Alligator mississippiensis: one gene and its partners. The protein of the gene in region 3 purifies or fractionates together with the protein of the main gene of each other region. This does not show direct contact. Links are inferred from orthologs where the notes say so. Each region holds a gene or a part of one and is shown on either strand. Other genes may lie near its edges.

What was found.
Region 1: the proteins of DHX15 (region 3) and SF3A3 fractionate together in Homo sapiens (co-fractionation; 3 studies listed by BioGRID and IntAct, with this or other methods). This does not show direct contact. The link is inferred for Alligator mississippiensis from reciprocal best matches to the Homo sapiens genes DHX15 and SF3A3.
Region 2: the proteins of DHX15 (region 3) and SF3B2 purify together in Homo sapiens (co-immunoprecipitation; 3 studies listed by BioGRID and IntAct, with this or other methods). This does not show direct contact. The link is inferred for Alligator mississippiensis from reciprocal best matches to the Homo sapiens genes DHX15 and SF3B2.
Region 4: the proteins of DHX15 (region 3) and CHERP purify together in Homo sapiens (co-immunoprecipitation; 3 studies listed by BioGRID and IntAct, with this or other methods). This does not show direct contact. The link is inferred for Alligator mississippiensis from reciprocal best matches to the Homo sapiens genes DHX15 and CHERP.

Annotation. Positions count from the first base shown.
Region 1 is NC_081829.1:1,211,991-1,219,127, forward strand, and holds the start of SF3A3 (splicing factor 3A subunit 3), read right to left. Parts: upstream 3,007-7,137; 5' UTR 2,978-3,006; coding exon 2,882-2,977; intron 2,113-2,881; coding exon 2,065-2,112; intron 1,224-2,064; coding exon 1,171-1,223; intron 137-1,170; coding exon 31-136; intron 1-30. UniProt on the Homo sapiens protein: Component of the 17S U2 SnRNP complex of the spliceosome, a large ribonucleoprotein complex that removes introns from transcribed pre-mRNAs.
Region 2 is NC_081838.1:5,518,958-5,526,255, forward strand, and holds the start of SF3B2 (splicing factor 3B subunit 2), read right to left. Parts: upstream 3,004-7,298; 5' UTR 2,981-3,003; coding exon 2,848-2,980; intron 2,740-2,847; coding exon 2,693-2,739; intron 2,428-2,692; coding exon 2,347-2,427; intron 1,579-2,346; coding exon 1,333-1,578; intron 877-1,332; coding exon 832-876; intron 1-831. UniProt on the Homo sapiens protein: Component of the 17S U2 SnRNP complex of the spliceosome, a large ribonucleoprotein complex that removes introns from transcribed pre-mRNAs.
Region 3 is NC_081825.1:39,040,065-39,047,715, forward strand, and holds the start of DHX15 (ATP-dependent RNA helicase DHX15), read right to left. Parts: upstream 3,017-7,651; 5' UTR 2,939-3,016; coding exon 2,868-2,938; intron 1-2,867.
Region 4 is NC_081839.1:375,301-383,179, reverse strand, and holds the start of CHERP (calcium homeostasis endoplasmic reticulum protein), read left to right. Parts: upstream 1-4,868; 5' UTR 4,869-4,975; coding exon 4,976-5,000; intron 5,001-5,171; coding exon 5,172-5,345; intron 5,346-5,814; coding exon 5,815-5,996; intron 5,997-7,421; coding exon 7,422-7,559; intron 7,560-7,879. UniProt on the Homo sapiens protein: Involved in calcium homeostasis, growth and proliferation.

The DNA of each region.
Region 1 (7,137 bases), on a different chromosome or scaffold from region 3:
TTTCCCCACACAAAGCGCAGGGCCACTGACCTCGTTTGGGTGCTTCCGATGAAATTCTTTGATCTGCTTCAGCCGATTATAGAATTCTGCAAACTCATTTGGCCCCGAAATGGCGCTGAGCTCCTCCTTCCGTAACCTGAGGTTCCGCAAGAAACAAGTTGAATCAAATGAGAGGGCAACAGAGGATAGGATAAGGAGCATCTACAAAGCTGATCCCATTTCTTTTCATCTCACAATTACACGAAAGATTCCCCCAAAACCGGCCATCTGCCCTCAACTAAATTTCATACGCTTAACAGTTGCACAGAGATCTCATACTCGGAAAGGTTTGGATTTGGGAGTCCAGCTCTCCTGGTCACCTATAATGCGGTAAGGTGCTCCCCAGTTACGGGCCTTCGGGTCTAGTCCAAGAAAAACACATCCATTTCACATGATAAAGAACCCAGCTCGGCAGTAAACCCAGAGCATTGGTTTAAAACGTTCAAACACAGAAGTCAGATGCCACTGGCGTGTATGATTTTCTGGAAAACCTGAATATACTAGGTCTTAAAATGAACCCGGAGAGTTTTATTAGCACCCACACATAACCACTTTGTTGGCTTTTGGACTACAATTCTCTCTGTTTGGGGTTGACTGACTTCTCAGGAGAGCAAAATAAACCTGACCTTTTGTGCACCTTCACTAACTGAATCTCATCAAGCCACTACTTCTCCAACAGGGCACTTTAGAAAATGTATGCTACAGCTGAATTGTCTCCCACCCCACGAAACATTTTGGATCAGACAGTGTTCAACAGCCCTCCGTAACAACATGCTGCTCTATGGTACTAATCAGATTGCTCTAGGATTCCCAAAGATATCCCCTGTTAATGATATATAATCAACACAAAAGTTTCCCTCCCGTCTTGGCAAGCGAGGTCAAAATCCAGGAAGGAAACTTAAGTTTATTATGGAGAAAAGAAGAAGGAAAAAGCAGAACAAAACCTCTTCTTTTTTAATCCCTAAAGGTGCGCTGATTTACATGCACTACAGCCCTGGCACTTTTTGTTCCAAGTAGGCTTTCAATACCATCAATTCCTTTGGGATCTTTGCAGAGCACAAAAGTGAAATTTATTCTGCAGAGCTTTCAGCTCTAGGAAAGGTCAGACAAGGCATTTTGGCAAACACTCACCCATCTTTGTCATCATACAAATCTCTCAGATTGCCACTCACTTCCATGTACCTCTGAGAAAAGAGCACACTACATGTCAATGCTCTGCCTGCACTTCTGCAACAAAGTACCGCGCAACAAAGTAGCTGAAAAGGCTTCCTTGAGGGCTCTCATTAGACAGAATTATCCGCTGCTCCTTTGGTACCAACAAATAAAGGCTCATTAACGAGCAATAAAAGCAACACTGGTCCATTTAGCTGCTGAAGGTGTTTCCAGGAACAGCATCACGTTTCCAAGTCATTTTGTGCTCTTCGGTGGAAGTCAGCTTATCAGTAAGGGGCTACAATGTAATATTTATGTAACTGTAAACAGCATCTCCTTCAGCTTGTTTGAGCCCGATTACCTCCTGCCCAAGGCAGGGGACCGGGCTCAAGGATCTTACAGGTCCCTTCCCGTCCTATTCTATTCCATGCAAAACTTACAGCAGCCGTACAGGTGCTGGGGCTCAAAGTAAACGCATCTAACCCACGCTCCATTTGCCCAAACCCAGGTCAACAAAATGCTTAAGCACCCTCAGGAGAACGCAGGGGAAGAGACCTTGGGGCGTCACACAAAGCACGTGCAAGAAGAGCACAAGCCCTTTTCCATTTACACTCAGAAACAGAGATGTCCGGGTGTTTAAGCGCCATCGTGGTCGGTCGTATAACAGCGCGCCGCTGGACTCCGACGGGCTGCCCACAAGGCATGGCGGGACGTCTCCCTTTTACCGCGCGTCCCGCGCCCCGCTCTGGGGCGTTTCTCAAGTATCCCCACAACGTCCCTGTCGCGCCGCGCTGCGCCGTGCCCGCTCCCTCCCGCCTCCCCCCCGGCCAGGGTGGCCCACGGGCATCGGGACGGGGCGGCGGCGGTACTCACGTCCTGCATCGCGCGCGTGCGGTGATCCGAGTTAATCTGGTCCCGTAACTGCAGCCCGGCACAGAAAGAGACACAGGGAGGGAGAGATGTTAGCGCGGCTTCACTCCCAGCTAGGAGACGCGGCTGGGCAGCGCGTGCACTCGCACACAGGGAGACGTGGCGGAGAGGTGTGTACACACACACACACACACACCCCACCACAGACACACGCGCACACCCCCATCCACAGACCCCCCCTTGACATACACACGCACGCTCACACATACCCCCATCCAGACACACCCCCTTGACGCGCACACCCCCATCCACACACCCCTTGACACACACGCACGCACACACCCCCATCCAGACCCCCCCGCTTGACACACACGCATGTACACTATACACCCCCCCATCCAGACACCCCCTTTGACACAGCACACGTACGCACACACACCATCCACACCCCATCCAGACCCCCCCACTTGATGCACACACATGCACACTATACACACACACTGCCCATCCAGACATCCCCGACACACGCATGCTACACACACACCCCATCCACAGACCCCCCCTTGACACACACACATACATGCACACTACACACACACCCCATCCACAGACCCCCCCACTTGACACACACACACACACACACACGCTATACACACACACACCATACACCCCCCATCCAGACCCTTGACACACACACACACACATGCACACTATACACCACCCCCCATCCACAGACCCCCTCTTGACACACACGCACACTATACACCCCCCCATCCACAGACCCCCTCCCCCCTTGACGCACGCACGCACGCAGGCGCACCGTGGACTTCTTGGTGAGCATCTCCTTGACCATGACGTCCATGAGCCGCTCCTTCTCCTCGTGGTAGCGCCGCTGCTGCTCCAGGATCGTCTCCATCTTGGCCCTCCCGCCCGCCGCCCGGAAGCAGCCCCGGACCACTTCCGCTTTCCCCTCCTGCCGCCCGGAAGCCGGTTACGCCACTTCCGCCTCCCTCCTTGCTGCCCCCGAGTTTACCGCCCTCCTCCCACTTCCGGCGCGCCGGCCGGAAGTCACGTGGGGTGTCCTATTGCGTCCGGACGGAAACTGCTGCTGGCGCGAAGGTTCCGCCGCAAAAAGAGCCCCCTCCCCCTCCCGCTCCGCAGGGGCTCGGCTCCAAACCCGCCAGGTGTGCACACGTGAGCGTGTGGGTGGGACACACATGCACACACATAGTCCCGTGTGGGCACATGTGCACATACACGTGAGCATGTGTGCATGAGCATGTGCACATAATGCCAGAATGTGTGTGAGTGTGCACATATGTCAGCACGTGCAAGGGTGTGCGCGTGTGCGTAGGTTCAGTGCACGGGTCCAGCGCGGTGAGACGTCTGCCACCACCGCTGCCCACGACTCGGCCCGGCCCTCTTACAAAACCGGGGGGGGGGATTCTTGGAATTTGTTAAAATTTGGGGAATTTGCAGAAAAAGACCGCGGCTCCAGCCCAGGACGTCTGAGAAACCTGTCTGAGCCTCGACACGCCCGGCCCACGAGCGGAGAAACCCGGTGTGAAATGTGAAATGTAAAAGAGGAGCAAACGATAACGAGGGGTGCAGGATGCAGAGGAGCGACCTGGCGACGGGAACCACGGAGCGACTCGCAGAGACCGAAGGACGCCGAGCCAAGGTGCCTGCACGTGCCGACGGGTGACGGCAGCGCTCGCGGAGGCGATAAACACCTCTCCTTATGTGCATTTTAGGAGCTTGGATGCATCTAGAAACGTGAAATCTCTTATTTGATCATTGGGATTCATAAACAAATAATATATATTTTTTTAAAGCAGTGGTGCCCCCCCCCCCCCCCCCCCGGCATTTGAAGCTGAATCTGGACGTTCAGGCCTGGACGCGCGTGCTCGGGTGAGCGGCGCTGGAGAAGGGACGGGCCCAGGCTCTGCCCCAGGGATTTTCCAGGCTACGATGAGAGACGGGAGAGAGCAGGGAGCTGCAGCAAACAGACGCTGGGAGCTGGAAGGATCGGTGCGGCGCCACTGCTCAGCAGGGCTCTGCGGGCGCAGCATGGTTCAGGGCAGCGCCGCCCCTGCGTAGCCGGCGGGATGCACTGACGTGCAAAGGTGCTTACTGGAAAACCCCACAAAGAGGTGATGGAAGCTGCGGCAGCGGCAGGGCAGTCAGGAGTCGCGGTGTCGACGGTGCCCATGCAGCGGGGAGAGCTCGAATGGCCTCACGCGTGTAGACGAGTAGCTCGTGTGCGTGCGGTGGCACTGGGAAGCCCAGCAGCAGCTGCAGCAAGATAGGCGCACGAGCCAGCTAGGAACATGCCCTTCGTGGCAGCATTTCCAGTTGATGCTTGAAGGGCCCTTTGTGCCTGAAGCGGTCTCATGCCTCTCCCCACAATACAGTTGGTCCAATAAAAGGTATTATTTAAAAAGAAAGAAATGCTTCTCATATATTTCCTTGTCTATCGTGGCTGCAACAACTTTAATAACAACGCCGTTTGAAATGTGGGGACGTCTCATTTATGATCAGCTGGCAGCTCTTCCCTGGAAGGGAGCGCCACGCGCCCCTTTGGCGGATAGGGAAATAGGAACAAGCGTTTATTTTGCCTCCGGCAGATGGCAAGCTTGAGCTGTCCTGGGAAAGAGCCTGCAATCAATCTCTCCCTGCTCTCAAGGTGAGATGGCTTTGGCGTTTCTTTCCCTCTCCTCGTGGGGCTGAGCTCTGGCTCCCTCCAGCTGGAGCAGCAAGAGGATGTGCCCCAGGCCGGCGGGTCAGCCAGCTGTTATCCTCTGGGCTTCCCCAGGTGTCCTGCTCCCCTACTCCCAGTGAAATGGGAGACTGAAATGGGAGCAAGTTAGAGAGCAGCTGCAGGGGAGACTGACTGCTCAGCACTGTGCAAAACTGGAGGAAAGGGGCAAGCCCAGAACCAGATAATCCAGCAGGCCCCGTTCCCAGCGCAGCGTGGGAATGCAGGTGCAAGCTGACATAGGCTGGCCCACTGCCCACAGCAAGGGGCTTCGCCAGCAGTGCCAGCCACCTCGAGCAAGCACCATGCACCGAGATGGGCTCTGCCTCCTGACTGAGTCTGCTCCAGTCCTTGCAGCCACCTACCTGCATGTGCTGCACCCCGCTCAGCTCGGGGGCATCTGAGCTGGGGTGGGAGGGAGGTTAACAGGGGGCTGCAATTCTCCAGCACCGTGTGGGCCCCTCTGGCGCTGCCCTGCCCCACTGGGGGTCTCGCCTGCCCTGTGCACAGCCAGGAGCTGGGGGCCGCGCTCTCTCCCGGCCACGTGGAGGGGTTTCAGCTGAGCGAAGCCCTCCCGCTGGCCGGCGGCCAAGCCGCCTGCAGCCCCACGCGGATGGTTCTCTCCCCAATACTGTCCATATATGGTGGCACAAGCGGCAGGGAGATGCTGCCAGTTGGATGCAGGAGCAGGAGTGACCTGCGCGGAGGCACAGCGACCTTTCTCAAGGAACAAAGACGGAGTGGGAAGGGCAGAGTCACAGGGGGGAGGCTGGTAACTCGGCCGCGGACTCGGAGCGGAGCTGGACAGCAGCCACGGGACGTGCCTGCCGGAGGGGAAGGGGCCAAGAGGGTGTTTGGGAAGGGCAGAGAGGGGGTCAGGGAGGAGCAGGGCATTGCAGCGACTCCTAACATGGGTGCCGTGCAGCCAAAACACGTGTACGTTTGCACACACACACACACCTCTCTCTCCCAGCACTCGCTTGCACGCACCATGAGTGCAGGACTCACCCACCCCCCTGCAGAGGATCCCCGCAGTGGGTCCACGTCCCTCAGGGCACACGCAGCTGGGGGTGCAGGGACACGCCTAGGGCCCCTGCTCGGGATGTGACAGCTCCCAGTCTCTGGTCACAGTTGCAGCTGTCCACCCCGGGGGCACAATCATTTGTGCCACCACATGCGACAGCCCCGGCTCCCTTCATCCCCAGCAGCTGCTAACGGCTCAGATCCAGGCCCCCTGCGCTGGCTGTGGGGTTTCTGCTTGGCCAGCGTTGCAGGGATGGGGGTGGAGGTATCCAGTCAACACCCCCCTCTCGTTACGCAGTCCCTGCCCCAAGGGATCCGGCCTTTTCCTGCCATGCCGTGACATTGCTGGCAGCTAAATTAAGGCTGATGAAAGCAGCAGCAGCAAGTGGACTGGGCACGGCCTGCCCGGGGCTCCCCTGCTCCGCTGGGAGGACGCTGCCCACTCCGGGGCTATCGCGTGCCATCGCTCTCCCACGAGCCGCCTCGGTTCTTCCCTATGAACGCCTGGCTAAAAATAAAGCCGGAGATAAGACCCCGGACTCGCCGTTCCCCCAGCCCGAGACTCCAGCCCAGGAGAGGGGAACACCTGAACCTCAAGTCGCGTCCCACCCACCCACCCCGCCGGCTCTGGCTGGTGGAGGGGCTCTCTCCGGGCTTCACCACCATAGGGAAAGCCCGTGGAGAAGGACCGAGCCTCCCGTCGCCAGTCTGCCCCGTCCTGCAGCGGGAGGTGGGGATGTCTGGAGCTGGCGCATGGCCCCCAGCCGTTGCGAAACCCGGCAGCTCTGGTTCCTGGCCAGCAATGCTCGTACGGACGTGCTAAGAGAAGGGCAAGTTGCCCCAGGGCTCAGGCCCACGGCAGGGGTGCAGGAAGCCCAGCTGGGGCATGCCCGGCCTCGAACACCCCGTCACCCCGGGGCCAAGAGCTGCACAGGGGGAGAGAGGGGTGCAGGGGCGGCTTCTTTCCCCGTCCTGCCCAGCTGCCTCTCTCCCCCTTTCCTGTTTTCCGCCAGCTCTCGGGGGACCCGTGTGCATGACATCACCCCGCCCCCTCCCGTAAATCCAGCCCCGCGCGGCGCGTCCCGTGACCCGCTCCTGACAGGGATGAAATCCAGATGTTCCCGCACGACGTGCAGCTGGGCCCTTGCCTTTTTTGGTGAAAAACGTGAGGCGCCGGAGCCCAGCTGGAAGAGGAGCCCGGGGGCCCTCTCGCCAGGAAGCCTGCTGCGGTTAAGCCCTGGGAACGGCGCAGGCTGCAGCGCGTGGGCCGAGCCACGAACCAGTGGCTGCGCTGG
Region 2 (7,298 bases), on a different chromosome or scaffold from region 3:
CCAATCAGAGATCATTTGCTGGAATATTAGAACCAGCCACCTACAGACGTGGGGCGTAAGCTAAAGGGGAGCCTGTAGAGCTCAGCAAATTCAAGTCCTGCCAACCTACATGCCACCCTCCAGCTCAATTCTCCCTACAGGTGGGCACCTATGGTGTGTTGTCACAGCAGCCAGCCAGACTTAGGGATAAGCGTTTGTTTTTCTGTGTTTCCAGGTGCAAGCAAAAAAATATCTAGCTGCAGACCGATTTCTGCTTTTTATCAGTAGCCAACCTGCAAGGTTACCTGTAACCTGGGCAACTGGGGGGGGGGCAGCCTTATCCAGGGGAATGTGGTATATGAAAAGAGGGTATTCTGCTTTCTTTCTGCACCTGAGTACCATCAGATATCTCTGTCCCGCACGGAGTACAGGTTTGTCTCGACAAGGACCTCAGTGTGTGGCAACAGCTTGATGGCAGAGCTGGGATGAGGCTGGTAAAGGGGGCAAGGGGACCCCACAGACCATTGGTAATGCACAGGGGGTGCACATGCACCTGGGATTGGTGGTGCACGCCCTGAAAGCAGCTCTGCTGATGCTGCCGGAGGCACCTGTGGGTGGTCACCACTCCCCACCCACCCCCCTTGCCACCAACACTGCCAGCAGCATCTGCGGGCGGTCACCAATCACCGCTGATGCCACCGCCCCCTGCAGGAGCTCCCCGCTCGCTGCCATGCCCCCACTGCCTGCAAGCAGTCCCCGTGTCCCCCCCAGTCTCCAGGGGCATGCATCATTTATGCCAGAGACCGTGCTGCTACCCCACCCACCCAGTAGTACATGCCGCGGGAGACTTACCCGCTTCTGTTGCTCCAGCAACTCCTGCTCCTTCAGCTTGTCCCCCTGTGAGAGAACAAGGCATGAATGGGTAGGCACCAGTATACTGGGGGAAGAGAGGGCTGGGGGCACCAGGATGGAAGACCACAGCCCACAGCAGTGCCAAAGTGCAGGGCAGCTGGGTCTGATCCTATCCAGAGCTCAGGGGGAACAGGGCCCTCCGCCCAGCCCTGGGATGTGGCTGGCTCTGGGGCAAGTGTCGGGGCTGGGGATATGAGGCCCAGACTTGGGATGTGGCAAGCTTTGGGGCTTGGGATACAGGGCGCCTTGCCCGGCCCCAAGATGTGGCCAGCTCCAGACTAGGAGAGCAGGGCTGAAGATACAGACACCCCAGCAAGCCAAAGACCCACCGCATGCCCTCCTGACCAACAATGCCCCTCTCCAAACCACCCAAGACAGCAGCCCCACAGCTGCTCCCTGTAGCCCCCAGCCCACCCCCCCACACCACAGCCCCCAGCTGACCTGCTTGGCCCGCTCTTCCTGCTGCATGATCATGGCAGCCTGCTGCTGGGCCAGCTTGAGGCGCTCCTCCTCTGAAAGGGCCACGGGGTCCACACTGGGGACACGCAGGGGAGGTCCCATGGGAGGTGGCGGGGGTGGCCCCACCCCCATGGAGTAATTGAGGCCCATGCCTGGTGGCGGGGGAGGGGGCGGTGGAGGCTGCATGGGCATCCCCATCGGTGGAGGGGGCATCGGGATCCCCGAGAGCTGTGGAGGGAACAAGAGAGACAGGTAAGAAGGAAAGCACAGGCTGTCTGCCAGGATGCAACCAGCTGTGGGGTGGATGCTGGGGACTGAATATAACAGAGATGCAGCTGGCTTGAGGCAGGGAGTTGGGGCTCGGGTCCCCTTACCCCATTGCTGGAATGCAGCTGACTCTGGGGTGGGCAGTGGCGCTGGACATACAGGGCCCCTCGCTCGGATGCAGCTGGCTCTAGGGTGGCCATCCCAGCTAGGAAAGGGATACCTCAGCCAGCACCGGGATGCAGCTGGCTCTGGGGATACAGGACCCCTTGTTTGACAGTGGGACACAGCCAGGTCTGAGGATACACTGTGGCCAGCTCTGGGGAAGCGGGAGTGGGGGCCATCAGGACCGAGGGTCCAGGACCTCTCACCTGGGACTGGGATGTCGCTGGCTCTGGGGAGAGCATCGGGAAGGCCCCTCACCAGGATGCAGCCAGCCCAGGTGAAGGGGGGTACGGGTGGGGGGGGGCTCAGGATGCCTGGCACAGCTGCTCATTTTGGTGTCCCATGCCCTGCCTCCTCAGGCCTCTCGCTCTTCACTTGGATGCGGCCAGCTCTGGGTGGGGGGTCGGCGCCAAGCACACAGACCGGCAGCATGACGCCCCCCCACCCAACCGAGGGGCTCGAGGCGACAGAACGGCCTCCTGTGGCTCCTCCACGGGGCCAGGCTTCGCACCCCACGTCGGTATCTGTGCCAGGGACCCCCCCGCCCAGCTTCGACACCCTCCTTACCGGGCCCGTGCGTGGCGGCGGCGGGGCAGGCTTGTCGCCATCCTCTCCTCTCAGGACCGGTCTGCTCAGTACGATGCCCGTCTGAGGGAAGGACACAGGGTGAGCAGGGGCAGGACGGGTCTCGGGGGCCCACGGTGGCTTCCCTGTGCTCCTCCACCCGCCCGGGAGGGGCAGGGCAGGGGCGCAAGGGCACAGGTGTAGGCGTCAGGGCTTGGGTTACAGGGATGAAAGGCTCGTGCCCCCTTCCCCCACCTAGCTGCCCACCCCCAGGCCTGGCCAAGGCTGCCGGGCAGGTGGGGTCCAGCCCATGTTCACGTGCTGGAGAGGTGCGGGGGCGGGGGCTCACCTGCAGCGTGTAGGTCTGCAGCCGCTCCACCAGCTCCTCGCGGCTACCTGCGCACACGGGCCGGGTCAGAGCGGCGGGGCCCGGGGGTAACCCCTCCCCCTCCCCCTCCTTCCCGGGCAGCCCCGGGCCCCGCCGCACCCCCTCCCCCTCCTGACCCTGCGTGGGGGCGCCGATCTCGGCCAGCCGGGCCTGCAGCTCGGCGGGGGCCCAGGCAGCGTATCCCGGCCCGGCCGCGGGCCCCGGCGCGGGCAGCTCGGCCGCGGGCGGCTCGGGGTGCTCGGCCGCCATCTTTGCCGCGCGCAGACCCGGCCGCCACGCACTGCGCAGGCGGTGCGCGACAGAACCTCCGGCGGGCGCGCGCCGATGACGTCAGGGACAAGGGCAGTGCCGCCCGGCCGGATGGGAGCTGTAGGCCGGCTGGGGTGCCGCCGCGCATGCGCTTCCCCGCGGACGGGGCGGGAGGGTGGCCACCCGCGGCTCGTGGCGTGTGCGCATGTGCGGGGGTGGTTCCGCCCCCAATCCCACGGCCCGTCCACTGCTCCTCCCCCCGAACGCCCTTCCCTCCTCTCCCCCACTGCCCAACCCCTCCCCACAGTCCTCCCAGCCCCCTCCCACTCGCCCAGCCCTGCCCCTCCCCCGCTGCCCAACCCCACCCCAATCCCCCCAGCCCCCTCCCGCATCCTTGCCCATCTCCCAATGCCCCCCTCCCCTCCCCCAGGGCACCCAGCCCCTTCCCCACCCCCGCCCCACCCCCCACCTTGCCCCCAAGACCCTGTCCCTCCTCCTGCCCCCCCATTCCCAGACCCCCTCCCTCCTCCTGCATTCGGTTGGCACGAGAGACGTGTTCACAAGTCTGTGCAAGAGCTCCGTGCCAGTTTGCACACAGCTTGCACGGGGGAGGTGCTCGCCAGCGTGTATGAGGTGCACGCGCCTGGTTAAATTCGGCTCACGCAAGAGACACATTCCCAAATCCACGCAACAGCCTCGTGCCAGCTTGCACGAGGGAGGTGCTCACAAGCGTGCGCAAGGGGCACACGCCTGGCTGCATTCTCCTCTCATGACAGGCCCCATCAGGAGCGCACGGGAGAGCCACAGCCCTGCTCGCACATGGCTCACACGAGGCAGGTGCTCACAAGCACGTGCAAGGGGCAGGCATGTAGCCTCATTCAGCTCGCACAAGAGGCACGATCACAAGTCCTGTGTCTCCCGCAAAGGGGCGTGAGGGGGCATGGCTCTGGGCGCTCAGGTCACACTTCCCCAGCACCTCCACCCGGGGCCAGGATGGGGCCTGCAGCCAGGTCTCCCGTGATGGGATGGATGATGACCCAGCCATGCCCTCGGGATACCCCGTGGTGGCAAGAACCCTGGCTCCACAGCGCCCGCTGCAGGGAGAGCTCAGCACAGCCTGATCTGCTCCCCCTCCCACACACCAACCAGCTGCCAGGTCTCCAGCCCTGGTGCCCTCCCCACAGCCCAGCCTGTGGGTGAGAGCCCAAGTCCAGACCCCCAGGGTGTGGACTGCAGGAGGTGAACCCGACCTGGGCCTGAGCCAGGGCTGGGGGAGGACACAGCTGGAACTGCCCCCCCCCCCCTGCACTGGGCGCGTGGGGATCTCCCAAGCCCTGGGTAATCGCTGGGTCTCAGGGCTCTATTGGGGGGCAGTAGCAAACTCCTGGGGGTTAGCATTACCAGATATGCAAAGGATTGTGGGTACTGGGGGGGCATAACAGGCTCCTGGGGGTGGTGTGAGCTGGGGTGGGCATAGCCAGGCATGCAAAGGGTTGTGGGTAATGGGAGAGTGCCTCTGCCTCCCCCAGCCTCCTGCCCGGCAGTGAGCACCAACAGCAGGTGACAAGTGCTTTAGCAATGCGGTGACATCACCTCCTGGGCTAGCCTTCAAGCTGCCAGAGCCACCAATGAGGGCTTGGCACTACCCCCACTGCCTGTTAGGAGTCATAGTCCTCAGTGCCTTTGCATGCTAGGACCTGTAGTTCTGAGGGGGGTGGGCACAGGGCAGCCCCAGCTCACAGGGGGCGCTGGAGCCCCACCTTCTGCCCTTAACTCTGCCCCATCCATGCCCCACATTGCAGCCTCTGCAGGAATTTGAACCCACAGCTCCTGCTTCCTGGTCCAGGGCTGATGAAAGCAGCCCCTGGGGTGGGAAGGGAAGGCCATCCGCCCCCTGCCCCGTGGAGACTGCAGTTTTGGCCCCAGTGGGGCAGAGAAACCAGGAAGCAAGACCCCACACCCCGCTCTGGAAGGACCCTGGGGTGCTGGGTGCTCAGCGCGGAGCGGGACAGCCCTTTCCAGCCAGCACTAGCCACACGCTTTCTGTCTTCACCGGAAAGGCGGTGCCGGGACACGACTGGCTCTAGGGTGGGGAGTCGGCAGCAGAGTATAACAGGTGTGGGGGCACCAGCTCTGGGGGGCACCCAGCTCTGGGGGCGCCTTTGAGCAAGCCCTGCCTAACCGGGCTGGGGGCTCAGCCCAGCTGGCTAATGACTTCATTAGTGATCACGAGGGTGGGACGCTGCCTGTGGGTCCAACTGGTGCCTGGCGGGGGCAGCTGGGGGGGGCGGGGGGGATGTTGTCATCTAGGGAAGGAGCCGCCCCAAGATAAGGTACAGCAGGAGCTTTGGGGCCCAGCACCAGATAAGGCTGGAATGTGCGTGTGTGGCCCTGGGTCGCCAGCATGGGATTGGCCAGTGGTGATGTGTGGCCACGCGGGATTGGCTCATGCCAGGGCGGATAAGAGACTGGTATAAAAGCGCCCCCACCCCCAATCTGGGCCACCCCCCAGTGGGAATGTCCCCTCTTGTCCCTTGCCTCAGTTTCCCCTGCCACCCCCTGAATCAGCTCATTGTCTCAAGGACGTGACCCAGGGTCAGAGGCAGGAGCCAGCGGAGGCCTGGAGCCCAAGGGGTCACGAGCTGGGGGTGCAGGCAGGGGTGGGCGGGATGTGGGAACTGGGCACTGGGCAGCCCAGGGAGCAGCCCTGGATCAGAGCCTGGCTCAGCCGCCCTTGATCGGGGGCCGCGATGTGCAGAGACATCTCGGCCGGGCTGGGCCTGAGCGCTGAGCCCCACCGGCCAGGCCGGGGCCTCCTCTGCACTGCTGGTGTCAGCTCTGCAGAGGCGTGGGAGCCATCTTGACAGCGGCTGCAGCACAGCGTCTCCCTGCTTCTATTCCAGGCTGCCCCAGGCTGCAGATGGGACTCGGACCCAGGTGCTGCCTGTCGCTGCACCCTGGGGCTGTTGTATAGCACAGGGACACATCTGGGGGTTGGGACAGGGCCTCGGGCATGGGCTGGGCTGGATGGGACTTCACAGAGCCTGTCTGGAGGCCATGGGCCAAGCCGGCCAGGCCATGAGGAGTTTCCCTGCCTACCCCCCATGCAGCTGCCTCCCAGGGCACTAGAGTTCCAGCTGAGACCAGAGCGACTGGCAGCCCTTGGGGTACAGAGAGAGGGAGTGTGGGATACCTGGAGGCCTGACACCCCCACCTTTCAGGGCTCTGCCTCTGCCATGAGCCCCTCCGTGCCCCCTCCCCCTCCAACACGGGTCTGAGCCCTGAGCCGGGAGCCGGGAGCCCATCGCCCTGGAGGCCTGGCCGGGTGGGCGGAGAATTCCCAGGCGAAGACGGCGCTGGACCGCTCAGGCATCCCCTGGGAACGTGGGCTGCACACTGGGCCCATTGTGTGATCCCAACCCGAAACACGATCGCGGCTCAGGGAGGAGCAGAGTCCTACAGGCAGCCGGGGCCGCGGGGCCCTCGCTGGTTGTGGATGCTCTACAGGGCTCTGGGTTTCCCAGCCCACGGGGGCCTGGGCTCTGGGGTATACAGCAAGCAGGTTGGAGCTGGGCCAAGGCCCTGTGCCCCAGCCCCACCCCAGAGCCGCCCCCCCCTTTCCCACTGAGCCATCTCCGCCCACTCTGCCCTACTGCCCTTCCTGCTGTTGGGCCTCTGCTCAGAGCTGCTCTTTGTTCAGCTGAAGCCTTCTTTATGTAGGGGAATGCAGCCCCTTGCCCTGCGGTGCCCCTCACTCCCTGCCTCTCCCCTCCTCACTCCCGACCCACAGCCCCCTGCCTCCCCCCTCCTCACTCCTGACCCGCAACCCCCTGCCTCCCCCCTCCTCACTCTCGACCCGCAGCCCCCTGCCTCCTCCCTCCTCACTCCTGACCTGCAGCCCCCTGCCCCCAGCCCTGTTGGTACCCACCACTCCTGACCCTCAGCCCTCTGCCCCCCCATCCCTATCAGTGCCCCTCACTCCTACCCCACTTTGCTCCCCTCCCCAAGGTGTAAGAGAACCCAGGCATCCAGGCTCCCAGCCTCTCCCCCCCTCCCCCTCCCCCTCCCCCACTGTGCTCTGGGTATAGGTGGGCACAGGGCTGGGGGGGGGGGCAGGGAGCCCTTACCTGGCTCCCGTCTGTATCATCCCCCTTGCCCACATGGGGGCACCCGGCTCAGCCCCGCCCCCACCTGGTAGAACAGGTTTGACTGAGCCCTCGCCAGGGCCTGGGGGGGAACTGGAAGGGAACCTGAGCCCCTGGGAGGGGGAGGGGAGGCTAATCCTGCCTGGAGCATGCCTAGGACCTGGGAGAGCCCA
Region 3 (7,651 bases):
CATGAAATAGAGAAAAAAGAATAAACTAGAACTTGGGAAGCACATAAAAGAAACAAAAAGCAAAACCTCCAACATGCACACAAAAAATCCAAGCAAAGACACAAGGAAATCCAATGACCAAACACCAAAGTTAAAGCTATTTAAAAAGTTTAAGTACACCAAGAACAAGAGTAATCTAATAATGGCCCATTATGATTAAAGTACTCATGCAAAAGGCAGATGTCATCCTGGGCTGCCTTTTACCTGACTTTAAACTAACATGGCTAACTACCTCTTTATTCATAATTAGACATGGTAGTGAAGTGAATGATAATGCAAAAACGTAAACTGGTATTAAATCAGATGATGAAACACTTTCCACTGCAGCAATTACTTTGGATGACAACAAACAGCAGCTACTGAAGTGAGACATTTGAAATTAATAGATACAGGTCACCAGGCAATGTGCACCCAAGTAAGATGTCCAAAGGACTCTGTGGGCCCCTAATGTTGTTTTCAATATGGCTTGAAACACTGAGGAATCATAGAGAAGCAGGGCCAGGAGGGACATCCAGAGGCCATCTAGTCCATCCCTACCCAAACCATCTCACACAATCCATAATCTAAACTCTACATAAGATTACTGTCAACCCCAATGCAACAACACAGATCTAACATCCTAACCTGCCACAGGTAAAGCAGGGGAACCATGGAAGCCAATGTCCTGTTTCTGTGAAATGCTGTCAACATATGCACAACAGATCCTGGGGTAGAGGGTCATGGCCCTGTTACAGAAGAAGGCAAAAAACCCTGTAGTCCATACCAATCTGACCATCAGGTAAAATTCCTTACTGACCCCAAATATGACAGTCAGTTAGACCATGAGCGGAGGGGCTAGACCTTCTAGCCTGGAACCTCGGGCTTGGTCCCAGCAGAACTGGCACACCCTAGGAAGCTCCAAGAGACATATACATACATACATACATAAAGATGATCAAGGCAATTTTAAACCTGCCAACCCGACATCAAACTCAAGTAAAATAAATAGAACAGCCAATACACAACCCAAATTACAAATGAGAATTAAAAAAGGACAACACTATCATTTTTTACCTGACAAGTTTGGCTAATAAATGCAAAAGTGCTGATGTAATACACCAGGGATTTGTCCACCCAAGAAAGGTATTGCAAAATAAGCTCCAGTGTGACTGTAAACTGCACTAGCTGTTCCATGCCACTGCCTGTGTAAACCCTTGTAAAACATGATAATCCTATTTGCAGTGTAACTAACTCTACTTTTGAAGATGATCAACTGGGTACCAGTGTCCACTTTCATGTAATGCAAGTGGCATACAGAAAGTTGGTGCAAAAGAGTGCTCATGCAGAAAAGCCTTTAGACTTCTATAAGATACTTGAGTTGGTACTACTAACATTTACTACAAAATAAAATTAAATCAAACACACATTACATTGACTAAAAAAATTGCTAGGTGCCAAAATGTAATCATAACTGAGAATTCTCAAGCAGATGCATTCCTGGTGGACTTGCTAAGCGATTTATTCTAGGCTATTTTCGACCAGTGATCTGAAAGAAAAAAAGTTACCAGAGGCAGAGTTTGTGGATGACAGAGATCAAAGGAGTGATAAATAATGAAGAAAACAGGACACCGATTCAGAACATTTTGGATCTTTTTATAAGCTGGATTCAGGCAAACAATCCACATTCTAACACTGCCACACTTAAGGTGACATCTAGAAAACCAGGATTTAGGATATACCTCAAGATAAGAGATTATATAAGAAAGCAGAGACTCTCAACAAGACTTAGGAATCACAGTGGGACAACCCCACGAATATGAACTCCTAGTACTAGAGGGGGTTACTATGATCACTTGGGATGTCTAGGCAAGGAGTACTGTGGAGAAGACAAATTAGATTACCTTTCCATTGAGCGCCAGTACTACAAGTCAGTAAGAATGTTGAAAGAGAGGACGTTTTGGGGAAAGCGTCAGAAAACATGCCTTATGACAATTAAGTGAAGGAACCCAATCTGTTCAGTTGAACAAACGGAAGTTTCAAGGTGCAACTGGTTAGGGTCTAGAAATACTTACGCATGGAAACCAGGAACTTGGTAACAGGGCTCTTCGCTCTAGCAGAGAGGCATCGCCAAGCCATGGAAGCTGAGCGGATTCATCTGAGAAATGCTGTGTCCCTCCCCCACACCTCCCTTTTTAAATGCAGCAACACCACCACAACCCCATTTATCTCGGAGAACCAGCCTGGGCTGCATTTCCCATAACTAGACACTGTCAAGGATAGCGACTGGCTATTTCTCTAGAGGTGCCTTAGTTCAGGCACCAACTTTGAGTGAATGGAGTGAATTCAGGGAGGTCCCAAATGCCCCATACTGGAGGAGACGAGAAGCGCACTGGGGCTCGGGGCCACACAACAAGAGCAAGCGGCCGAGCCCGAGCAGGGCACGAGGAGGCCGCCAAGGGCGCAGGGAAGCGTTTCCACTCCTCTCCTGAGGCAAGAGCGACCCGGCCCGACCCGCGGCAAGGAGGCGGTCGCCCGCTGCGGCCCGGAAAGTGCGGCGAAGCCCGTCGCGTCGCTGGGCCCGGGGCAGCCGAGGCCGAGCCCCCGTTTCCCCCTCAGCGCTGGCCCGGGGCCCGGCCGGCTGCTCCCGCCGACACAGGCGCAGCGACCACCCAAGGCAGCGCGAGGGGGATCTGCCGCCAGCCGGGCAGAGCGGGGGGGAGCGCCGCCCCCTCCCCCCCGCGGAGCGCGGGCGAAGCCGCAGAGCCGGGAGGAGGCGCCGCGCGGCTCCGGGCCCGGGCGGATCAGGCGTGAGGCCGGGTCCCCACACGCCGCGGCACCGCTGCCCTCACCCGTCGGAGGCGGCGCGCTTCTTGCTGGAACTGTAGTCGTCCCCCAGGTCTAGGCGGTGGCGCTTGGACATGGCGGCGGCTCCGCTCCTCAGGCGGCGGCGGCGGCGGCAGCAGCAGCAGCAGCAGCCGCGCCGCGAGGCCAGAAACAGCGACTAAAATGGCGGCCGGAAGGAAGCGCCCGGGCGGCGCGAGACACTGGAGCTGGCGGCGCGCGCGGGGGGGACGGTGCGCAGAGCTGGCGCCGGCCGGGAACTCGGCCCCGCCGCGCGGGTTCCGCCCGCCCCGCCACTCGCCGGGGCCGAGGGAGAGCGGGCGGGCCCGGAGCATGGCCCGGCTCCTTGAGGGCCGCCAGGACTGGGCCTCGGCTGCAGCTGCCCGCCCGTGCCCCAGAGGGAGGTGGGGGTCAAGCCGCATGGACGGCACGTGCAGCGCAGGCCCGACCTGCTTGTCCCTGGGCCGAGGCCTCTGCACTCTCCTAGGGCAGCCCGTGGAAGAGCCCAGGGAAGCGGGTGATGCTCCTCGGCTCCTAAGCAGGGTCTCAAAGGGGGCACGGAGCAGAGCCCGGCACCCCCAGGAGAACACGGGCCCTGCAACACACAGCAAAGCCCCGCAGGGCGCCTGGGCTCGGGTCCCAGGGCCCCACTGGGCAGGGCCCAGTCCCTGACTCCGCCCGTGTCCCTCCGAGCGGTGAGAAGGCGGTGTCGCTGCAAGCGTAGGTCACGCGGACTGCAAAGCGCCTAGGGAGCCAGGAAGGCCTGCAGAGCGCCCCCGGGCTAGGCACAGCCCTGACAGCGAAGCTGCGGGGTGTGCTGCACCAGACGGCACCCACCTCCCAGCTGTGGAGCATCTGTACTGAGAAAGACAGCTTTGCAGTGTAACTGGGGGCTTTGGGCTTTTGCCAGTGCAGCTGTGTTGGCAAAAGACTGTGCCTCCAAGCCACCAGGGCAAATCCTGTATTAGCATGGCCCAAGAGACAGACTAAAGCCACTGTTACGTTGGCATGACTCCCCATGGGGACGGTCATATTGCTGAATAAGGGGAGTTATGCCTGTCTGGAACTGATAAATAACACCCTATAGAGATATCTTTTCAAGAAGTTCTTCAGGCCTGGGATTGTCTTCCACTATGAACTAGGGGGGACTCAGGGGTCTTAAGCATAACTGTAATAGAAAATTATTTGTATTTGAAGATATCAAATTAAATAAAATACTGTAAGTAACACTGTCCCGGGGGGTGCTGGTCACTGCTCTGCTCGGCTCCCCCACTTGGAACACTTTTTACTAACCTATGGGCTTGAATTTAGACGCTCAAGATTCTGAGTTTCTATTAAGAGTTATTGTCTAGCAAACTTTCAAGCTTACAGACAACACTGGGATATCTATTTCTGGGGTCATTGGATCTTGGCTTTACGTGGATGTGACATAATTCTAAATTTTAACTAACCAACCAAAGGCCATATTAGCATTATTTATTACTTGCGCTGCATTAGTTACACTGTGGTAGTACATAAAGGTCCCTACTCCCTTGTATTTGTGTAGATTCCTAATAATAAGCATACCGCTTTAGCCCAAACAGTTTACAATCTGAAGTCTTCATCCTGAAATTCTTTAAACCATGAAGCCTTCAGAACCTTATCTGCCTGAAAACATTGAAGTAATTAAACACATGCAATTTTTCACAGGATCAGGCCTAAATACAAGACTTGAGACAGTAACCAGGCAGAAAGATAGGGAGGACCAGGTAACAATGAGACTATTGGTAAGATGCTACTACTGACCAGAAGCACAAATGATGCAGCAGATATGCCCAAAACTGAGCATATTCTATGCATCCTCATCTTCCAAAGGAAGCTGATAAAAAAAAAAAAAAATTAAAAATACTTTGACCTACATGCATCTATATATGCACACACTTTAAAATGACTTAAACTTCAGTTTTTCCATTTCACTTTATTCTCTCTTTTTTTTTTTTAAGAATAGAGTCATACCCAAAATAAAGCCATTTTTCATCCTAATCAAAGATTGATTAGTCAGCTTCATAACCCTTTCAATAAATTTCTAGCAAGTTTCAAATTAACACAAGGACAATGAAGTGCTATAGTGGGTTGTTTCCATGGCAAGAAAATGCTTAACCCAAACCAAAACTCTTTACATTTAAAACTATTAAAACGTTTATAACCATCAAAAAAGCCCTGAAAGTTTGGTTTAAACTGTTACTTCAGTTCTGAAATGCAGCTCTGGAGACTAAAGTTCCCACAATAAACCATCTGTAAGAGATTTGTATCAAGTTGATGTAGAACTGCAGGCTGAATCTGTGTGATTATATTACTTTAAGCACCCTGGCTCCCCTGGTATTGGATACAAATGTCTTATTGTTTATTTAAAATATGCTAATTTGCGAGAGTGAAGTCTAAGAAATAGATCCAAAGAAGGACCAAGATGCTTAAACCCAAAACAACCCCACTTGGTGGCTGCTTACCTTACTAGGCACCTCCCTATTTAATTGGAAAGTCCTGTAAGCGCTTAAAATTATGCCTCTGAGCATGGGCACAGATCCAATCTGAGCAAAACACCACTTACACTTGCCTTCCCCTGATCAGAATATAGGAGCTGGATGCCTACATGCCTGGAAGGTCCCAATCTGCTAGGCCATACTCAGAGCACAGGCAATGCATACCAAGCAAACCAACCTCCTTCACCAAATGCAGTTGAGTACTTTATTTTTAAAACATGGCATGAGAAGGAAAAAAATACCAACATTTTATATGATAGCATAGCAGAGCATTTACCCAGGAAGTAAAAGAGTAAGTTCAAATCTTTCTTCAGCCTGAGGGTGATCAGACTCACTTTTCCCATCTCCAAACAGATCACTTCAATGACCAGATATCAGCAGTAGGGTAACATGGGGCACTAGCCAAGGGCAGTGCCTAAAAGGAGTCAGGAGGGGGGAACACTGGAATGGAGCTGGGGGGTACAGTACTCATCATCCCCTCATATGCAGTTGCTCTGGTTCCAACAGCAAGGGGGCAGAGCAGCAGCAATGGGGTTGATAGGATATGGTACAAAGGCAGTAAGTAGCCAGCAGAAACAGGGTGCTGCAGGAGAGAAAGGGAAGCATCAGAGGTGGTTAACTTGCCCCTTTTGCCTCCCCCCCTCCCAGCAAACTTCTGGCTGCTGCCCTTCACCACATGGTACCATGGCCCAGGGTGTAGAACTAGCTAGTTATTTCTCTCTGTATCAGCTAGGCTGGGTGGAAACCTTCTCCACCTACCTTGTTGAAGCTGGGCCACCATGCAGAGGAATGAAATGTTTGGGAGGCCACTAAGAGATTGTCATTTGGAAATGCCTTGGGGTTTGTCTGTACTGTATCTGTAGCAGGCCTTAGGGAGGGCAGGACTGAGCACATCCAACCAACCACTCGGGTCTACAGAGATGCCCCAAAGCTTGTCTGTCCACAAAGCTGACATAATCAGAGCCTGCTCTTAAGCCTTCTGTCTCTAGCAGATCTAACACCTTGTACCGGGGACTAGCCCAGTGCAGCATCACTGGCAGACTTCCAGATCAGGAGCTGGTCATTGGACTCAGGTGGAGAATGAATATTCAACCATGTCTCCCACAAGACCTATTCCAGACCAGCCCTAGTCTTCCATTATACTGTATAGGGAACCAACATTCCTAACACTGGGTTCTGGATTCCATTCTATGCTCAGCACCTTAACAATCAGGGCTGCTATATGCAATTCCTTTCTTGGATCTAGCTCTAACTGAATAAGTGGACCCTACACAAAATCCCTACAGGATTGTCATATCAACAGAGGAAATTACTTTCAGAGGCAAGCACCTCTATCAAGAATATGACAACAAACCCACACGTTCAAATATATTAGCAAAAAAGCGAATCGACTGATGTCAACAAGTGCAGCGACGAGAGCAGCAGTTTCTTGTATGTATTTACAGCAACTAAATTGTCAAACTTTACCAATAAGAATACTTAACACTTTGAATTGTTCCAGGAAATAAATAGGAAACCAGCCTACTGTTTAAAGCAAAGATGTCATGTGCTCCCTACAGTCCGTTTTACCAAGCACTGCAGCTTGGGCACAACCGAAGGCTTGTGAGTCATCTTCAAAAGATAACTCCATATACTGTTCATCATTGCAATTTAACCTAGAGATCAGAAAGCCTGGATGATATTGTCAATGTTTTACATTTGGGGGGGGGGGGGGGGGCAGATAGCAATTGCTGTGGGAAAATTCAGTCCTTGCTATCAACACCACCCAGAACACCAGAAGCAAATACAGGTCAAGAAGGACTCCTCAGCAGCATACATCATGAGAATACATTTCTCAGTAATGGGGAAAGAAGCTATGTAACCAGCCAACTGATAGCACCTCTCTCTTAGGTAGATTACATTTCAAACATAGCCAGATCCATCTCAGTCAAGCTCTTGGGTTCACTAGATACTATGCAGGCCTGACAAGGAGCAGCAGAAAAAGTTACAATAGTTGACCACAAAGCTCTAGTCTAACCTCCTCTTCTTGCAAGCTGTGAAGCAAGTACCTTCTAATTTGTGCACAAGAAAACTCCAAAAGTGGTTAAGTTTATTAGCAAGAAAAGTCAAAACTGTATTTTAAAAAGAAAGTATTTTCACTTTCTGAAGAGCAATTCAACAATACAACCATACAGGGCAGACTTTGCCATTGATTCCATTATACTAGAAACTAAGCATGAACTCCTGCTTCCAAATTTTGGCAGCAACTTGCCCAATATCTTTAAATCTCTTTA
Region 4 (7,879 bases), on a different chromosome or scaffold from region 3:
TCATGTCACTGTCACAGTTTTAATTATTAACAAGTGGAGGAACGGAGCTAAAGGCTCTAGTCTTCACATTCTCTGAATCATGAAGTCTTGTAACTTTTTCAGGAATCAGTTTTTCCCCCTGACAACATAGAAAACTTGTTGGCAAATAAAGTATTTGTAACAACGTGACTTATTTTTCCCTGTGACTTGCTCCAGATTTGCCCTATAAAGTTGACTTGCGTTGAGACAGGAACTTAAAAGGATTAGGGTGTTCAATTTCCCTATAAAAAACTGAAAAAGTGTGTTTTATCATGTGACTGTTTAAGGATGTGGCTTTTGATGACAAACACCGTGCTTGTTTACTAAAGCTATACACCTCGCCCCTGGTGGTTTCATAAGCATCTACCTTGGTTCTGCTGAAACTACCGCCTGTTCTACCTGGCTTCTGCTTTCAGCTAAGGTCTGAAAGGTAATTCTGTAGCTCTGTCTCTTCCTGCAATTTCCCTACCTTGATTAATGATTTATGAGAGATCATTTTGGGTTCATAATTACATAAAATCATGAAGAATGAGGATAGGATTCTGACATTTTGCACTTTTAATGCAACTGAAGGTAGTCTGACAACAGTTTTTTCCCCGTTTTGAAGGAAATATGGTAGATATTGCATCTGTGTAGGGGGTGGACTGTTTTTGAACCAGGTTTTTTGGCCTTGCCTCCCTGGCAGAAAACCATCTTACAATGGGATCCTGGCAGAGTAGATGCAAAGTTCTTGCCCATTGGATGTTGACCAGGTATCAGTGACCAACTTAATAATGGTTTGGTGCTTTACAGAATGTTCCTCCCTCCTTATTCTCTGGATGGACTATGGTAGAAGAGAGGGAATGTTGTGATTCCTTCCCCTTGATTATTTACAGCAGTGGTTTTCAGCCTGTGGTCCTCAGCCCCTTGGGGGTCTCCAGACTGTCTAAGAGGCTTGCGAAAGATGACTGTGACCAGTCAAAAGTGCGTGAATACCCACACGTACAATGCAAAGGGGCCCACATCTCCATTTGAAATGTTTAGGGGTCCACAAATGAAAAAAAAGCTTGAAAGCCACTGATATATACAATTCTCTGTAAGTTCAAAATCAAGCTCGTTCTTGGCGTGTTGGTGTTTATGGAAATTACTGGTGTAATATCTTTCTTGCTGTGGCCCAGAGGAGAGAATGGTGCTTCGGGGGAGTGGGTCATAGACGCTGTTGGTACAAGTAAACAGAACTTAATTGATCTCATGGAGTTGTCTGTCGGTGCTAGTATGGAGTCTAGACCTGGAAGTCTAGTCTGGAAAAGCCCGTTGTAGCAAAATAGTTTCTTTTAAGCAAAGCTTTGGGCATGACACTCTTCCCAAGTAGTAGTCGAGTTGGAACTGCTTTTGCACCCAGTATGAAGACAGACCTTGTGTTTTAAGAAATCCTTTTGACATCTGAGTGCCATTTCATAAACAGAGGGATGATATGGTTGTTAAGACACTGGACTGACTCTAGCACAGACTTCCTGTGCAACTTTGGGCGAGTTGTTTGGGCTGAGATTTTTCTGAGGGGTTAAGAGATTAGGTGTCTAGTTACATTGTTTTCAATGGGATTTGGGTGCATAGCTCTTGAAGATCACTGACAATTTTAATTTTATTCTTTGTGCCTCCATTCCCCATCTATAGAATGGGGATAATTCTTCCCTACCTCAGGGGTGCTGTACTGGGATACTGCAGTGATTGGGGGATGGTGGGGGAAGCATAGAAATGCATAAAGCTATCTCATTCTCATGTCTGCTTTTCCTGGTGTGCCTACCACCATCGTACTATCTTAGTACTAATGTGAATCATCCCTTTGAGGAAGGCACGGTTCCCATCTCATTTTCTTCTAGACTAGAGACTGCCTTAAACACCCTTGGGCAGCTTATTTCCTGAAGCATGCAGCTAGGTCATTTCATAAGACCTTTCTGAGGCAGCAGGACTTGGGCTGACAGGTCAGGTGTGTATTGGCAAGTGAGGGCAGGGCGCTTTCCAGAGAATAAATACCTTGTCGGACTCCTGCAAATTCCACCTGGGGCTTTTGGCTTTCTTATCTCCTTTGAACAAAACTACTGCAACGTGCAGTGCAAGAGGTGGGGATTCTCTCCGGGAGCCGGGAAACAGGCCGCTGAAGGCTCTGAACATGACAGTGTGGCCTTTGGTCATGCCTCATTAGTTTAGAGTTTATACTCAGCAGGGGTTTTGTTGTACAATTACATCTTAATGGAAAGAGTTAAGGGACTTGACTCTGGTTCAGGCACTCAAGGAGACTCCTCACCAAAGTCCCAAAGCAATAGAGCCCACAGTCAGGTAAAGGAAGTTTCTGATATTGTTAAAACTTGTATTTTAATCTTAAGCCTTTCAAGATTTTTGTTTAACAAGGTGAAACATTTGTCTAGTTTTAACATGGTTTGTAAACTAGTAACACATTTAACTCTGTATATAAGCCTGTAGAAAGTATGAAAACACTGGAATAAAAAGGGCATATGTAGACAATCGTATATAATGACCCTAATATTAAAGGAAAGGTGGGGGGAATACTTTTTTTTTTTTTTTTTACCTGTAGTACACCTTTGGAGTACCATAAATAAGTGGAAAAAATAGCAATCTGGGGAACTTAGCTTAATGTTTTACAATATTTTTATTGTATAATTCACTACCAGATGTTTACATAGAAGAAAACGGATACAGGTGTGTCTCCATAACTAATGCATGGACATTTGCCAAAGGTTGTAATTGTAGCTATCTCCTGAGTCCCAGAGCCTGTCTGTAACTACATTGCAGAATCACAGAATTGAGGAATCTTTTTCCCAAAAATGTACTAGATACAACCACATGTGGGTTTTGCAGTTGTGCTGAGCTCATCAAAGAATTTGGTGCTTCTTATCTTGAAAAGTTCTTCCTAGCAAGTTCAGCTATGACACCAAATGGTAACTAGTGGTATCCTTATCTGAGTCTGTCGAACATTGATGCGTCTTGTATAGTTATCTAGAAGAGCTGAACAGTGACTGAAATCGAGACAAAATTGTATTCTTTTAGCTTAGGGCTCTTGCAAAAATGACACTGGTCAAGTTAGATCAACTCTGGGTGACCAGCAGATCAAAAAAATTAGTCTTTCAAAAGTAATGAGAGTCCTGATCCACTTCTCTACTGTACCTTAAACGCAGTAGAAAAGCTTGGTGTTTCCTGTTCTCTGTAAAACGACGTGTCTTTGCACTGTTGTAAACGGGTTTGGGGGTTTCTATTTATTTCTTTTGTGTTTTTTGTTGCTAGGATAGCTACGTGGTGGCTGTCGCACCTGGTAAGGTAAATAGATATATGTAAATCACGGGACTGCAATGAAACGTTGTGTAAATATTAACCGTTCGTACTTGGTGCACAAGAAAAGGTTTCATTATATGTTTTCCCCATGCTGACACTTCATGGATTAATTTAATGTATAATTAGAGTATCTCTGTGTATTACCAAAAACTTGCTTATGAGATCTGGCACTCGGAATAGAAAAGAATGTGAATTTGCAACGGAATCTTTCTGGTTCTTTCTTCAGCCGCTTTACCCTGTGCTGTTGTGTGTCCCGTAGCAGAGGATCTCCCTCTGCTCACATCCGTGTTTCATGGCTGGTGATGCTGCAGGCACCCCTCGGGATTGTTGTGAGAAACTTAAGGATGTTTTGCCCTTTAGCTAGGCGGGTCAACACTCGAATCCCTGCCCCCGAAGGTTCATATGTGGTACCCAGCCACGCTGGTGCTAGCCGCAGATGAGGCAGGGAGCGCGGGTCTGGGAACAGAAAGCGGAGTGGCGGTCCGTAAGGGTGTAAGGCTTAACTAGTGGTACGCTTAGCAAAAAGGCTGGCTCCCTCCCCTCTTTAACTGGAGCCAAGTTCCTGCTGGCCCCAGAGACTGGATTTTCAAGTACTCTGTTACCAGAGCGGGGCATTCAGCAAGGTATTTTTCAAGCTCTCACAAGGAGCAAGATGGTCTGTTTTTGGAAGAAGGAGCAAGGCCTCTACGGGACGGGAGAGAGACGGCGCTGAGACCCCCGGGCCTGGCCGCGGGCGTGGCGTTCTTCTGTGTCTGCCAGAAGCCAGGATGAACGTTAAAAGCCGTAACAACAAATGCGATGGAGAAGAGAATGACCTGTTCCCCTGCAGCCCTGAGAGCTCGAGTACAAAAGGATGCGTCCGAGACTCTGAAACGAAACCGGACCAGTCCCCTTGAACTGTAGGAGGTAAGGAAAGACCTTTAGCGAATAGAGAGAGAGGGGGAGGAGGGGCTCGGGTGCCGGGGCAGCTTCCCTGCCTGGGCTCCGCGCTTCCTCCTCCTGGACCGGGGCCGCACGGTCCGGCTTCCTGCGCCCGCGGCTGTGGAGGAGGGGGAGGGCTGCGGGGCGGGGCGGGGCGGCGCGGCGCGGCGCTAGGGCTGTTTTCCGTTCCCGTTTGTGCAAGCGCTGCCGCTCCTGGGGCGCTGCCCTGGCGGCTCCCCGCGGCTCCGGGCGCTGCAGGCAGCGAGGAGCAGAAACGCGAGTGGGGCGCAGGGGGCCGGGCCGGGCCGGGCCGGCGTCCGTCTACTTCCGAAACGGGGACCCAGCCCCGCCTCGCGCATGCGGTGCGGACGGGACGCCCGTGACCAGGCCCGCCTTTAGCCCGTGCTCTGTAACGTACTTCCTGGACACGTGCACGCCGCATAACGGCCACTTCCGCAGCACCGCGCGCGCAGGGGGGGCGGGGTGAGGCCGGGGCCAGGGCCGCTCCGCACTTCCTCCCGGGGGGCGGGGCGCGCGCGGAAGGCTGTGCGTCGTGACGCAAGCGTGGGGCGCGCGGCCGTGACCTCGTTTCCATAGCGACGGGGCCGTAAAGCGCGGCGCCCAGTGCCGTCAAGCCTTTCGCGGCACTTCCGGCCGCTGAGGCCTAGCGGGATCGTGGGGCTGCGGCGTCTCGTTCCCCGCCGCCGCCATGGAGATGCCGTTGCCGCCCGACGGTGAGGGGCGTGGGGGCTGCGAGGCGCTCGGGGCAGTCCTGGTGGGGCGGGGCGGGGCGGGGCGGGGGTGGCCGGGCGGGCGGGCGGGCTGTCGGGGGTGGGGTGGGGTGGGGTGGGGCGGGCCGGGCCGGGCCCGCGAGCGCGGTCGAGCCGCCCTGTTTGTGGCCGCAGACCAGGAGCTGCGGAACGTGATCGACAAGCTGGCGCAGTTCGTGGCGCGGAACGGGCCCGAGTTCGAGAAGATGACGATGGAGAAGCAGAAGGAAAACCCCAAGTTCTCGTTCCTTTTCGGCGGCGACTTCTACGGCTACTACAAGTACAAGCTGGCGCTGGAGCAGCAGCAGCGTGAGTGCGGCGGGCGGGGCCGGAGGCGGGCCCTGCTCGGGGGCGGCTGGCGCACACCTTCCCCCCCGGCGGGCGCAGCCTCGGGGGCGCGGGCGCAGCTGCGCGGAGCTGGCGCTTTGGGCCCTGTCTCAGGCGCGCACCCCGTGCTGTCGCGCCCACTGCCTCGCCTGCCCTGCGCGTCTTCGGAGACGCCGCGGCAGCTCCGCGAGTCTGAAAACGTGCCGGCAGACGTACCCGTGCCGCTTCTCTGGAAAGCTGGTTTTGGCCTGACCAGAGCGCTTTACAAACGGAGCTGAATTAAACCGCTGGGAGCGCATCACGGTTCGACCTGCCCTTTCCTGTTAGGAGAGAGAGAGGGCGGTTTGGCTTATGGAGCTAACGTGGGAATAGTCTGTGTCTTTGGGGTTGTACATGGTTTTAAAAGGGCTTTTGTCTTTTATCTTGAAAGTGAGTGTTTTCTTCCTGTCAGTGTTGTGCAAACAAACACAAGATATTGAAACCACTGCACAGATCCAGCCTTTGTCACAGCCGTCGCTGCCCCCGCCGGCTGCTCTCCCAGCTCCTCAAGGGGCGCCCTCGGTCGAGGAGCTCATTCAGCAGAGCCAGTGGAACCTGCAGCAGCAAGAGCAGCACCTCCTTGCGATGAGACAGGTAGGCTTGAGGCGGCTCGTGAGCCCCGCTGATGCGCCAAGCGGCGGTTGTGCGGCTGCAGGGTTGCATGGCTTGGAACGATGACCCGAATGAGGAAACTTAGTGTCTTGCCAGAGGAGGACGATGCGAGCTGGCATCACTTCATGTATGGCATCAGCTGCAGAACAGAAAGAATAGACTCCGTAGAGCAGAAGTAACTAGCCATTGCTTTGCTGAGACCCCATTTATAATTCGCCAGGAGTGTGAAGACCACGGTGGTCCTCCATAAACTGGAGCGAGTTGCAATTATCTTCAACTTTGACATGGTGCTGTGGCTTGTCAGGACTGCATCCAATTCTGGGCTCCACAATTCAGAAAGGATGTGGAGAAGCTTGAGAGGGTGCAGAGGAGCCATGCACATGATTAGAGGTCAGGAAAACGGACCTTATGACGAGAGGCTGAGAGCCACGGGACTCTTCAGCCTGGAAAAGCGCAGGCTCAGGGGTGATCTGGCGGCCTCCTTTAAGTTTATCAGGGGTGACCAACCGGATCTGGCGGAACGTCTGTTCACCAGAGTGCCACAGGGGATGACCAGGTCGAACGGTCACAAACTCTTCCATGACCGTTTCAGGATGGACGTAAGGAAGAACTTCTTTACTGTCCGAGCCCCCAAAGTTTGGAATAGGCTGCTGCCAAAGGTAGTTTAAGCACCCACTTTGAACACCTTCAAGAGAAAATTGGATATTTATTTTGCTGGGATTCTATGATCCCTGTTGACTTCCGGCCCCTGTGGCAGGGGGCTGGACTCGATCTTCCGAGGTCCCTTCCAGCCCGGATGTCTATGAAATCTGTGACTACACACCCAAGCATGACATGCTGCGTTTTTTATTTAAATACTGATTTGGGGCTGAGATGAAAGGTTGTTCACAAAAGAATTACTTTGGGAGCGATGGTTCGTTGTTAAAGGTGCAGGGTACCTACCTCACTAAAGGTTCTCTGGAGAAAGAGTATGGGCTTATGTTAGGCCTTCAGCAACATTTTAGAGGCCCTTATTTGTTTCCTGATAGAGCAGGGGTGCACAAAACGTGGCCTGCCAGGCCATTCTGTCCCACAGGGCCCCTAAGAAATTAAAAAACTATATATTTATCTGCCCCTGGCTGCCTGTCATGCAGCCCTCAATGGCTTGCCAAAACTCAGTAAGCAGCCCTCCACCAGAAATAATTGCCCACCCCTGGGCTAGAGCAACTGGGAGGTTTTCTCATGGTAGACCAGGGAAAGGCGACGGTGATAACCAGCTGAAATATAGCTATGCTTCTCCCACTGTGAATAGAAAATACGGCCTCTAAAGGTATTAAGCCGCTCCTGTGGCTAAAGTGATTTGAATGTTTCTGTTGAGTTTTTATGCCCAAAGAATATAGGGTGTATTAAAATTCAGCTTTTTTTCAGGAACAAGTTACATCAGCAGTAGCCCTTGCAATTGAACAACAAATGCAGAAAGTCTTGGAGGAGACCCAGCTAGATATGAATGAATTTGACAATTTGCTACAGCCGATAATTGATACATGTACAAAAGACGCAATCTCAGTAAGTAAGCATCTAAACTTATCTGTACGTTCCGTGTTTGCCTTCGGAGGTGACTCGCTCTCGCTTGTTATGAGCGCAGAGGCAGGTAGTGTGAGGAGATTGTTTTAATGTAAAAAGATTGGGCCGCTGTTGTTAATTCCACGTGGTGTCATAAACTGTCTGTTCTGTTCATGGGCAGCTTGTTGGCAGCTCTTCAGTGCACAGTGACAGCCTGTAACCTGGACCACCAACCTTGAGGCGTTGAAACAGCAGATGGGGCGGAATTGCTACTTAAAGATACTGTCAGTCCCTAGTTCATAGTACAACTGGGAAAGCTCACT